Ovis aries: one gene and its partner. Each later gene encodes a partner of the first gene's protein in a complex. Links are inferred from orthologs where the notes say so. Each region holds a gene or a part of one and is shown on either strand. Other genes may lie near its edges.

Region 1 (5,798 bases):
GACACAGAGGCTCAGTTGACAAAGCAGCAGCCAGTGTCCCCTGCCCTCAAGAGGCCCCTCAGCTCCTACATCCTCCTGGGAAGCCCCTCCCAATGGGCCCCCTCATCCCTCTGCTGCCGTGCCTGGGAGCTCTCACTGTTGGCACCAGGATCCCCTGCAGCATGAAGTCATGGATCTTCTGGCCCCACCAGGTGCCCCGTTGGGCCTCCTGCTGCAGCAGCTGGCCCAGCCCCATGTGGCAGAAGCCATACTTGGTTGCCATGTATTTGCACTGTGTCCCTTTTCCGCAGCCTGGACCGCCCATCACAAAGACGATCAGGGGGACTTGAGGATGTCTGCGTGCCTGAGGAAGAGGGACAGGGGAGAGGGGTTGGTGCCTGTAGGGGTCAGTTGGTGCTGAGGGGATTGTGTCCACAGTTACAATGGGTTACGCTGGACACATGTCTGCTGGAAGATCTATTTCTGCCCTAGGGTGGTATCTGGGGGTGTGTGTCCACACCCAGTGATATATCCAGGCACGGCACCCATTAATACTGCTATAGGTCATGTGGATGAGGTGTGAACCCAAGCAGGTCAGGCCCTTTGTGTGCAGCCTCTCCTCGAAGAATCACCCCTTTTACAGTTGAGGAAACTGAGGCTCTGAGACGGACAGGGACTTGTCCACCCCTCCAGTCTCATCCCATACCACCCTCCCCTTTCTTTACTGTTTCAGCCCAGTGGCCTCCTTTCAGACCCTTGTACTCATCACCTCCCTGTTGCTCCTCCCCGACCCCCACCCCTGCTGGAAGTCCATACTGCAGTCCCTTCAGGTTGCAGCTCACCCTTCAGCTAATCTCTGTCTAAAGAGCCTCCCACCCCATTGTTCCCAGTCTCAAAACCCTAATTCCCCACCACCCCACAAAAAGAATTCCATTTCCTCCAGTAATGGTCACTATCAGTAATGAGTCTGCCCGTTTACTTGTTCTTGTTTGTCTCCCCAGTCAGACTATGTACTACAAGAACACAGAATCTGTTTGTCTTCCTTGTCCCTGTATTTCTAGTACTTGGCATAGTTTCTGACATAATCGTAGCAAGTGAGGAGTAGATAAATGTCCATAACTATCAGAAACATCTATGGAGACCTGTAGTTTATAGTGCTGGCTTCCTACATTCCCCACGGACTTCCCAGAATCCAGCGCAGCAGGTGCTAAAAGTGAAAGTCAGTCAGTCAGTCAGTCAGGCGTGTCCGACTCTTTGTGACCCATGGAATTCTCCAGGCCAGAATACTGGAGTGGGTAGCCTTTCACTTCTCCAGGGGACCTTTCCAACCCAAGGATCAAACCCAGGTCTCCCGCATTGCAGGTGGATTCCTTACCAGCTGAGCCACAAGGGAAGCCCAGCAGGTGCTAACATGGATCACTGAATACCTGACCCTGAGCATGCGAAGTTGTGTTACAATAAGGTAGGGGGCCGGGAGGAAGGGCGTGTGCACACCTGGACTTGAGGAGGGGTTACCTGCATTCTCCCGCCCTCCATAACCTCCTTCCCTTCTCCCGAGTAAACCAGCCACCCCCGCGATGTTTCCCTTCTTCTGGGGCCTCAGGGGCCTGCCTATTTGGGGCAGTTTGGACTTGCACAAACCCAACCCGCCTGAGGCCCGTGGGGTGAGCGCACTCCATCCCCTACACAGGCCCTGACCTCTCCTAGTTCGGTTCAACGTCACAAGGGCCCCTGGCCCGATTATTTGGCGAGATGATAGGGCTACCCCCGGGGGCTGTGGGGAGAAATGAACCCCAAAGAGGCTCAGGTAGAGCCGCAGCAGTCGGCTGCCAAGGAGGCCTCGGTTGCTGTGGTAACGCGACCTCCCCGGACTCACTTCCGCAGTAAAGTAGCGCATGCGCAAATGGCCCGACAGGCCGCGAGGGTGGCGGGTTTCCTCCCTTCCTTCCCAAGATACCCCGCGGTCCTGAGATGTAATGTCACTGGGGGCGTCTTCACGTCACCTGTTTGGGTTATCCGCGTGATGAGGTTATCGGCCTGATGGGATTATCGTGCTATACAAACTGCGGGCCGCCAGAGCGCTAGATACAGAAGGCGCTACCTTCAGTTGGGAGTAGGTTGCTTCCCCTAGGCCTGCGGGAGGATTTCGATTCCGGTTTAGGCGGCTGCGCAGGCGCAGACTTGGCACAGGCGGTCTCAAGCCAATCGCCGACCCAGTGCCGCCTCCGGATAGCTTTCCCCAGGATCGGTTGTATCCCGGGCCGGAGACCGGACACCTCGAGGGCGGCCTCCGAGGGACGCGCACCCGGAGGGAGGCGTAAAGAAAGGTTCTGATCAGACCCGGGTCAATCGCCCATCGCCCATGGCGGCCCTCGTAAGTGTGCGGCCAGGCGGTTCGGCTGCGGTCCCGGTGGCCTCTGTAGCCTCTCACTCACTGTCCTGCTTTCTCTCCCCTCAGGGCCCCAGCAGCCAGAATGTCACTGAGTATGTCGTCCGAGTTCCCAAGTAAGTCCCTGACCCTACCAACCCCCTTTCCCTCCAGAAAAGGATTAAAATCTCGAGGTTCCAGGAGTGTCTGATTCTTCTTCCAGGGCTGGGGTTGAGCCGAGGCCTCTGGGGCATCACTGTTTTTTTAACAGAGTGAATGAATAAGTACATTAATATACAGTAACACGCAGCCTGCCTGCCTAGGATTCCCTCAGCCAGGAATGGCAACAGTGACTCTACTGGGTGGATTCTTTTTGATCCTGCGAAATTCCGTTACAGTATTTTCCTCCTTCAGGAGGCAGTCCCTGCCTGTCCACCCCGCTGCCCAGGGCTGAGTTCCCAATTATCCCATCTTGAGTTCCCAGAAATATTTGTCCTTAACTGATCTCTGGGGTTTTTTTCATGGGTCCCCAGCGTTGCCCAGCACAAAGAACTGAGCCTGGGAGGGTTTGCTGAATTAATGAATGATTAACTGAGCACTGCCTCTTTTTGCCCATACCAGAAATACCACCAAAAAATACAATATCATGGCTTTCAATGCAGCCGATAAAGTCAACCTCACTACTTGGAATCAGGTAAGTCCGAGTTCTGAGGCTGTGAGAAAACCTGACCCTGGATTTGATGTAATAGTTGCTTGGTTGTGATAGTAACTAAGGCTTAGGATCCTCCCCTCTCCCCACGTGCAGATAAATGATAACTAAGGCCCAGGCTGAGCCTCTGGGCACCCCTGAGGACAAGATATGTGTGGCCTTGCAGGAGGCTTTCTTCTGAAATTTGTGCCCACTGATGGGCATTCTGGGTCGAGATCTATCTGGGCAAGAGAGGAGGGGGCTGCCTCCTAGAGGTGACTCAGAGCCCCTATTGTTGGAGACTCCAGAGCGGTCTTTAGAAACTGTTTTAGTTGCAGGCTGCTCTAGCAGAATTCCAGAGACTGGGTGGTTTGTAAACAACAGACATTTATTTCCCACAGTTCTGGAGGCTGGAAGTCCAAGATCAGGGCGCCAGCAGATCTGGTGTCCTGGTTCATAGCTGGTGCCTTTGCACTGTACTCTCACCTGGGTACACAGCACTCTGGAATCCTTTGTTAAAGAGGGCACTTATCTCACTCCTAATAGGCTGCAGCCTCACAACCTAATCATCATCTATCAGAGGCCCCGCCCCCAAATACCATCACACCGGAAATTAGGTTATATGCATTTGGGGAGAATTCCCTGTAGATACAGCGGTTAGGACTCCAGCTAGGACTCTAGCCCATTCACTGCTGGGGGCCTAGGTTCCATCCCTGGTGGGGGAACTAAGATTCCAGAAGTCCGAGATCACAGCCAAAAAGAATGCATTTTGGAGGCATGCAAACATTCATCCATAGCAGAGGCTATTAAAGGGTTACAAACAGTCTGTAAAGAGATTTGTCCACTGTGGGGTCGAGGGCAAGTGAAGGGAGAACAGGGCGGAGGTGAAGGCTCTGGACCAGGTGAGCCTGTGATGGGGTTTGCAGCAAACAGGTTACGAGAAGTTATTGGACTCTGGGGTGTCTTTTTTTCTTTTTTTCTTTTTTAATTTTTCATTTGGAAATAACTTCAAACTTTCAAAAAGCTGCAAAAACAGACATCGCAGCGGGCTTTAGACAGATCCCTTCGCCCACATTCACAGAGCCTCTTTTCGCCAAGCGGGAAGTTGGCTCAGAGGGTCCACCGCTCAGCCTGCGGGGAGGAAGGGGTGTTGTTGGATGGGGAGCAGGCTGCCTGATGAGAAGTCTCGCCTTCCGTCTCCCAGGCCCGGCTGGAACGAGACCTGAGCAACAAGAAGATTTACCAAGAGGAGGAGATGCCGGAGTCGGGCGCCGGCAGCGAGTTCAACCGCAAGCTCCGGGAGGAGGCGCGGAGGAAGAAGTACGGCATTGTCCTCAAGGAGTTCCGGCCGGAGGACCAGCCCTGGCTGCTGCGGGTCAACGGTAAATCAGGCCGAAAGTAAGTGCCCCTTCCCGCCACTCCCCGGTACCCTTGGCCGAACTTCTAGGTCCTGCAGCTGGGGGTGACAGCTCATCCACCCATGAAGGGGTTTTCTTGGGGAAGATGAGCCAAGGGGTTGCTCGAGTGTGTGCTAGGGATGCAGGAATCCCGGCCTGCCGTCCTCCTGCGCCCAGCCAAGGACTGCCCAGAGCTGAGGGTTGAGAACCATGGGGGAGACAGAGATTAAGGGAAATGAAGGGCACTCTGGTTGAACAGCGAGCACGAAGGCGTGAAACATCGAGCCCCAGGGACTGTCACAGCGCACGACAGTGGCAGAGTGGGTGGACTGAGAGGGCTGAGAGTGCCAGGGCACAGCGGGACTGTGGGTAGGCTGGGGCCCAGGGCAGCCTGAAGGCTGTAGGTGGGGAAGGGGCACTCTGTAAGACTGCCTGCACATGGTGGGGCAGAAAAGGGGAAGGATGGAGGCCCGGAGGGAGCTGGGCTGGCAGTGGTTCAAGGAAGATTCCGGAGGGGAATCCAGAGGGGTCTGACACTAGAGCACTGTGCTCTTTAGGGCCCATCTAACAGGTCCTTCCAGAAAGGACCATGTCGTGTATAGTGCACAGGAGCCCTAAGTCTGCTCTGTGAGGGCAGGAAGCCCACCTTTTCCAGATGTGGGAATCCAGGCTCAGGCAGTCAGCGGGCCAGCCTTCCAGCCTCAGGTTTTGCTAGGAGAACCCAGATGGCCCTGGAGAGAGGGATGCAGGGGGTGTTGTCTGGATGTGGCACTAGTCCTTCTTCCCCACACAGACTGTGACCTTGAACTCCCTGCAGGTTCAAGGGCATAAAGAAGGGCGGCGTGACAGAAAACACCTCCTACTACATCTTCACCCAGTGCCCTGATGGGGCTTTCGAGGCCTTCCCTGTCCACAACTGGTATAACTTCACGCCGCTGGCCAAGCACCGCACGCTCACGGCCGAGGAGGCTGAGGAGGAGTGGGAGAGGTGAGTGATGGGGCCACGCCTAGAAAAGGGCTGCAACCCCCCGACATTGTGCCTGGCTGGGAGCTGGGGACTCAGCGGTGAGCAAGCCAGATCTCTCCACTGCTCAGGAGCACCCAGTCCAGGGGGCAGATGGACTGGAGACAGCGGGGAGAGGGACTGGAGAAGTGGGGAGTTGGATCCGGTGCTAGGGTGTCAGCATCACACGAGACCTTCTCCTGAGGGACTCTGGGCAGGCAGGGAACCAAAGGAGGGCCAGCTCTCCCTGTGTGCTCTCAGGGTCTTTCTGCCACGTGCTTGTGTCCCCATGTTCAGGGTCAGGTCGTCCCTCTCATCACCTAAGTTGTGTCAGTGGCTCTCCCTCGGGGCACACCTGGTGGA
Region 2 (5,519 bases), on another chromosome or scaffold:
TCAGAGTCGTGTCCCATGTTTGTCTCTAAAAGCCTCATCTCAAAGCTTCCATAAAAATGATGAATGCATCCAGGCTATGCAGGCAACACATTCAAGTCAACGTGATCTGACTTCCTGAGAGACTGAAAGTGTTGGAAGAACATAAGCAAGGCTCCTTGCCTATTCAAAATTCTGTGCCAAATGGGTGGTGCCCTCAGGAGCCAAAAGCACAACACTTTCTCTCCCACACAGAAAATCACCTTGGAGGGGAAATGTTGGGGATGGTCAGCCAGGAGCCTGAGATAATCCTGAACCCAGATACTGAAAGGTTGGGATAGATCCTGTATTGACACGTGATCATCTGGCTATGGGCCAGAAACGTAATGTACCACAAGCAAGTTGAAAAAAATGATTTGAAAATGGGAAAACCTTTTTTAAAAAGGAAGGGAAAAGAGTCTGAAAAAGTAAAGTTTAATTTAAAAAATCATGTACATAAAACATCTTAAGCTCTCCCACTGGGTCTTTCACCGGCAAGTCAGTTTCCCACTGAGTCCAGACCTGCTAAAGATGCACTCAGGGTGGACAGAGAGTCAGCCCCTTTCGAACAGGTGAACAACAGCAACTGCTATTCGGGTTGAACTAACATCCAGGACCTGAGTGACTAAGCAGCAAGGCTAGCTTCCTGGGTGGTTCAGAAGGCCAGTTTCTTCATGAGCAGATACACTCTGGAGTCCACTTCAAATCCATGCAGGTTGTTGGCATCACCCTGCAGCCTCATGAGCAGCCCCCCATAGGACACGTAGGCAGAGCTGAAACAGAAGACCCAGTCCCGTGAGTCTGAGTGCCAGAGCAAAAACTGCTACTCAGCTACTCTCCATGCCAGCCTAAGAAAAAAAGGCACCCTTCTAGAGTTCTGTCATTAGGAACCAAATTTCAGACAAAGATGACGGCACAGATATGTGCAAGGCAGTGTTTTTTATATCAGAAAGGTGGAAAATACTCCATGACCAAACTAAGGGAAATGGTCAAATCAATTAAGATACATCCATTTATTGGAATGTTACACAGCTATAAAAATGTTTAGGAATTTAAAAAAAATGTTTAGGAAAAGCTTTAAATTGACATGAGGAAACATGTTTTACATAACATTAAGCAAATGGAACAGAACAAAACATTGTAATAAACAACATGATCTCAAAGAAAAAAGTACATAGGAAAAAAAAAACCTAGAACATTCAAGAATGTTTATGTAGAAGATTCCCTCTGGTTATAGAATTATAGGTGACTTTTTTCCTTCTTCATATTACTTTTCTGCTTTTCAAATTTCTTGCAAAGGGCACATATTGTTTTAATAAGGTTTTAAAGAAAAGGAAAAAATAGTTGGGCAGAGAAACCAAAGAACTAGGGATTGGATTGCAGAGTAGCAAAACACACACACACACACAAACAAAAAAGCCTAGCAGTTTAATCACTTATGCTGCATTTAGTTCTTGGAGAAGTAACTTTCCTTGGCATTTCACTCAGCAAGATTAACAGTTTCTCATTTAGATCACAGGCCTTAAGATCCTGACAGAGGGCAAACTGACCAGCCTACATTTCAGACTGAAACTGTTCCCAAAACAGTTCCTTTCTGGGTCCCGCTAGGTCTGAGGTGCTTGAAGAAAGAAATCCAGGGAGCCTGAGGATGGTCCAGATTTTCAAAGCATAGCCCAAATTCTCACAAAATGAGAAGGGAAAGGGCTCTCACAAGACCAAGGAACTTACAGGCGTGTTGCTGCTTCAGTAGAAGTTTCGTCTCCCTCAATCCTGTACACTTTCCCATACATGACATACTCAAATTGGTCAGCCCTGTGGAACAATAGGGGCAGTTATTCTTAAATACAGTTAACAAAAGTAAGAGGCCCTTTAAAAAAATGGTAACTGGTAACTATACGCCAGCATCATAACACCAGGCACTTTCTAAACGTGATGTCATTCAATCCTCACAGCAACCCTGTGAGCTAGGTATGACCATCAATGTTATTGATGAGAAAAAACTAAGGTTGAAGGAGGTTAAGGTTATCCAACAAATAAGTGGTAGAGCTGAGATGTGAACTGAGTGGGCGTCCAAAGCCTTTCCATCACACCAAACTCCCTCCCAAGACACAAGGCCCACAGAGCCTAGGTCATTCAGTGCTCATTTCCTCCACTATCAAAAAGTGACAACTCACACTGTAATCACTGCTTTGGATAAACACCTGGATGTCTGGATTCTTAAGTGCTGCACTTTTCTTAAGCTAACAGAGTCTGCTGATAATCATTTATTTCATGAATTAAGTAAGGGTTTTTCTATACACCTATCCACTTAGTCCTCAGGCACATTTCAGGTGCTCCCTTTTCCATCCCCTCACCTGGAAGGCCTATCATCTGTGGGGTTGTATTCACCATCATCCAGAGTACCATCTTCATATAAGGTACTGGCTATGACCAACCGGAACTTGTCACCTGAAAACAACAGCGGTAGCAGAGGGTGGAGACCAGCTGAGATGGCATAAAGCCTCCTGCTGTTTGTGTTCAATACTTACCCAAGTCTACCGGGTAAATCTGAATGTTTACATCAAGGATGAGGTCCATCTTGAAAGATTCACTCTCACAATGCAGCCGAGACACTGGAGGGGAAGAGTGGCAGAAGTTAACTGCCTGTGGCCCAGGGCAGACCCTACAGGGCAGGGCAGACAGGTACTTCAGGGGCCTGGATGCAACAGAATACTCAGTCTAATGCAGTCTGTATCCACTGGCCTCTCATCTGCTCTCACAGAAGTACAGGCTCAATCAGAATCACACATGCAGGAAGGAAAGGGGAGACAACCTGTGGCCAGTGGACAGAATCCACAGAAAAGAATCAAAGATCCTCTGGCAATAAATAATATCCAGGTTCTAGGCCAACCTAAGTGATTAAGAAATAACCTGATTTGGGGCAAGGTATTCATTCATCCTAAGGTTTCCTCTTCCTGTGTCAGGTGCTGTGCTAAGGGGATTGATTATCAAGATGTGTAAGAACTGGTGTTTGTCCCGAAGAACTTATCAGTGTCCAGGCAAAGGAAGAGACACCCAGGACAATTATTGATAAATGACAGAATAAAGAGGTGTATACCAAGCAGTCTACTCTTAAACTCTGAGAAGATTTTACAAACAGCTAAAGACTCTGAGGAACGGGTTGTGAAGTCGGATTATTCACTGTACAACCTTGGGTGGGCTGCTTAGCCTCTCAGAGCAAAATGGGTAAGACACCGCCTACTCCTGGAAGAAAATAAGTGAGACAAAGCGCGTGCGAAGTGTTAAGTACAGCGCCCGGTCCAGAGCGGGGAGCGATTATAAAAGATGCCTGGAGTCCACCAGCACCAGCAGAAAAGGCCACCCAGGCAGCGAGCACAGCTTGTGTGAAACCAGGGAGAGCTCGGGAGTCTCCGTTTTCTTATCTATAAAATTATTTCTCGAGAGAGGTCCCCACACCAGGACCCACCGGTAGGGAAAGGCCACGCGAAAGTGGGTGGACAAGCAGCCTGGGGGCGGGTACCAGAGGAGATTAGCCCCTTCCCCCGAAACCGCCCCTCCAAACCTTGCTTACCTCGGTCAAACTTTTTGCCTTCCGGGTCAATGTCTTTTACATCAAAAATATCCTCAAAAAGGATGCCCGCCATGGTGAGGGGGCCACGAGAGTAGCAGAGGGACTGGGCGCGCTGACCACGACGACTAGGGGTAGCGCACCCCCTCGCGTGGAGGAAAAGAGGCGCGCTAAGACGACGCAGCGCTGAAACGGCAGCGGCAAAGGAATACAATAACGCATGCGCATAGAAGAACTGTACCGCAGCCACTTCCGCTGCCTAGCTCTCGGGGCTTCTTAACTTCCGCCCCGAACGATTGTTTCCCAGAGGTTTCAGAATTGAGGGCTGGTTTCGGGTCCAGAAAACCCCGCCCCCGGCGGCGACACGATGGGTCCCACCTCCGACAGAGGTGGCGTCGCGTCCGGCTCTCTCCCGAGGCTCTACTGCGCCCTCTTCAGAAGCCGGGTCTGGAAGACTGGAATGCTCAAGCGGCCTGCCCCAGCCAGGGACCTTGATCCTTGGCCCAGAGAAGCCCGGCCCGAGCCTTACTGTGCCGGTCTGCGTGCCCGCCGAGGGCAAGTCCGCACAGAGAGTGAGGGGAGCAGCACCCCGCCCCCAGGGCGCTGGCCCGACTGGGCGCAAAACCCAGCCCTTCCTGCTGGCACCCAGGCCGGCCCGGGCCGGCTCGTCCCAGCTGGATGTCACCTGAGCCGGGTCCCTCCAGTTTGGGAATTTGCCATGATGTCACCATGGGGAAGAGGAAAGCCTGCACCGTCCCCTTTCCTGCTCTCTTCTCTCACACCACCCCTTCAGCAGGGCATTAACCCCAAACCCACTGCCCTCCTCGAGCCCTGCCCCTTAAGCTCTGTTCTTCCCTTTCCGCTACCACGGTCCTCTCCTTCTAGACAAGCTCTCCTACGGGCTTCTTCATCCTGGCACTACCCTATCCTACAGATGCCACCTCTTTCTTTACATTGCCCCTTCCTCTAGGGTGCCAGCTCTCACTTCGGCCCCCTCCTGGGCACTGCTCCCTTACCCGGGAGCCCCCTGCGACCTCCCGCGCGCCCCTTCACCCCGGCGCTGCCTCCTCCTGCACACTGCCTGTTTCCTGGGCACTGGCCTCTCCTGACACTCTCCCTGACGCTGCTCATACACTAGTGCTCACCCCCTCTGCTCTGTCCTCCGGACCCTCATACAGAACACAAAGCCCCAGCAGGCCGTGTTCCCCCATGGCTGCTAGACGTCAGCACCTACTCCGGTTTCTCTTTGGGCCCTGCCAGGGAGAAGCGACCTCTGTCCCCACCACGCCCGCCTCCCAGGCACCTAGACCTCCCTTCCCTCTGGCCTCACCCATTCCCGTTCCCTCCCCATCTCCACCCCAACCCCCCGCACTAGCCGAAGGCCAGGTGGCTCAAAGTGCACCTCCCTGGGGGTGCTCCTGGGGGACCCGCAAAGAAGGGAAGGAGAAAGGAAGGGGATGAGAGAGACCGAGGGTCCTAATTCCAAGCAACCTCCGTTTCTGGGCCTAGCGACCCCCTCCGAGTTCTCCCCTAGCTTTGTTTTTCACCCCCCAGCAGAGCACAGGGACCTTTCCTGGCCAGTCAGCCGTTGGCCCCTCCGGTGAAGCAAGAGAGGGGACCGCCGCTGAGGGATTGGGCCCGAATCTGATTTAGACGGCTCGGCAGCCCCCGCCCCAGGCCCTACCGAGCCCCGGCCTGTCCAGCCCCTCCCGACCCGGCGCGCAGAGCCGCAGCCGCGGTCCGGCCCCTCCACGTGCCAGCGGACCCGCCCCCGCCCTGGCCCGGGACGCCCCTCTCAGCCACCGGCCTCCACCAAGTGGGGTCGCGGGCTCGCGCGTTGCCCGCGCCCCCTGCCACCTCTCCCGAGCCCGGGAGGCGGCCTCTACGAGGACCCCGGCCGGGCAGGACCCGCTCCCTCGGAGGGGCCGGCGGGCGG

The links. Proteins that work in one complex are often made in the same cells at the same time.
Region 2: GTF2F1 (region 1) and POLR2H share a complex: the UniProt entries of both Homo sapiens proteins name them as parts of the TBP-based Pol II pre-initiation complex. The link is inferred for Ovis aries from reciprocal best matches to the Homo sapiens genes GTF2F1 and POLR2H.

The regions. Positions count from the first base shown.
Region 1 is NC_056058.1:15,923,192-15,928,989, forward strand, and holds the start of GTF2F1 (general transcription factor IIF subunit 1), read left to right. Parts: upstream 1-1,929; 5' UTR 1,930-2,341; coding exon 2,342-2,353; intron 2,354-2,437; coding exon 2,438-2,484; intron 2,485-2,968; coding exon 2,969-3,041; intron 3,042-4,239; coding exon 4,240-4,433; intron 4,434-5,249; coding exon 5,250-5,420; intron 5,421-5,798. UniProt on the Homo sapiens protein: TFIIF is a general transcription initiation factor that binds to RNA polymerase II and helps to recruit it to the initiation complex in collaboration with TFIIB. It promotes transcription elongation.
Region 2 is NC_056054.1:203,611,177-203,616,695, forward strand, and holds POLR2H (DNA-directed RNA polymerases I, II, and III subunit RPABC3), read right to left. Parts: upstream 3,794-5,519; 5' UTR 3,660-3,793; coding exon 3,587-3,659; intron 2,628-3,586; coding exon 2,544-2,627; intron 2,464-2,543; coding exon 2,370-2,463; intron 1,828-2,369; coding exon 1,744-1,827; intron 789-1,743; coding exon 671-788; 3' UTR 435-670; downstream 1-434. UniProt on the Homo sapiens protein: DNA-dependent RNA polymerase catalyzes the transcription of DNA into RNA using the four ribonucleoside triphosphates as substrates.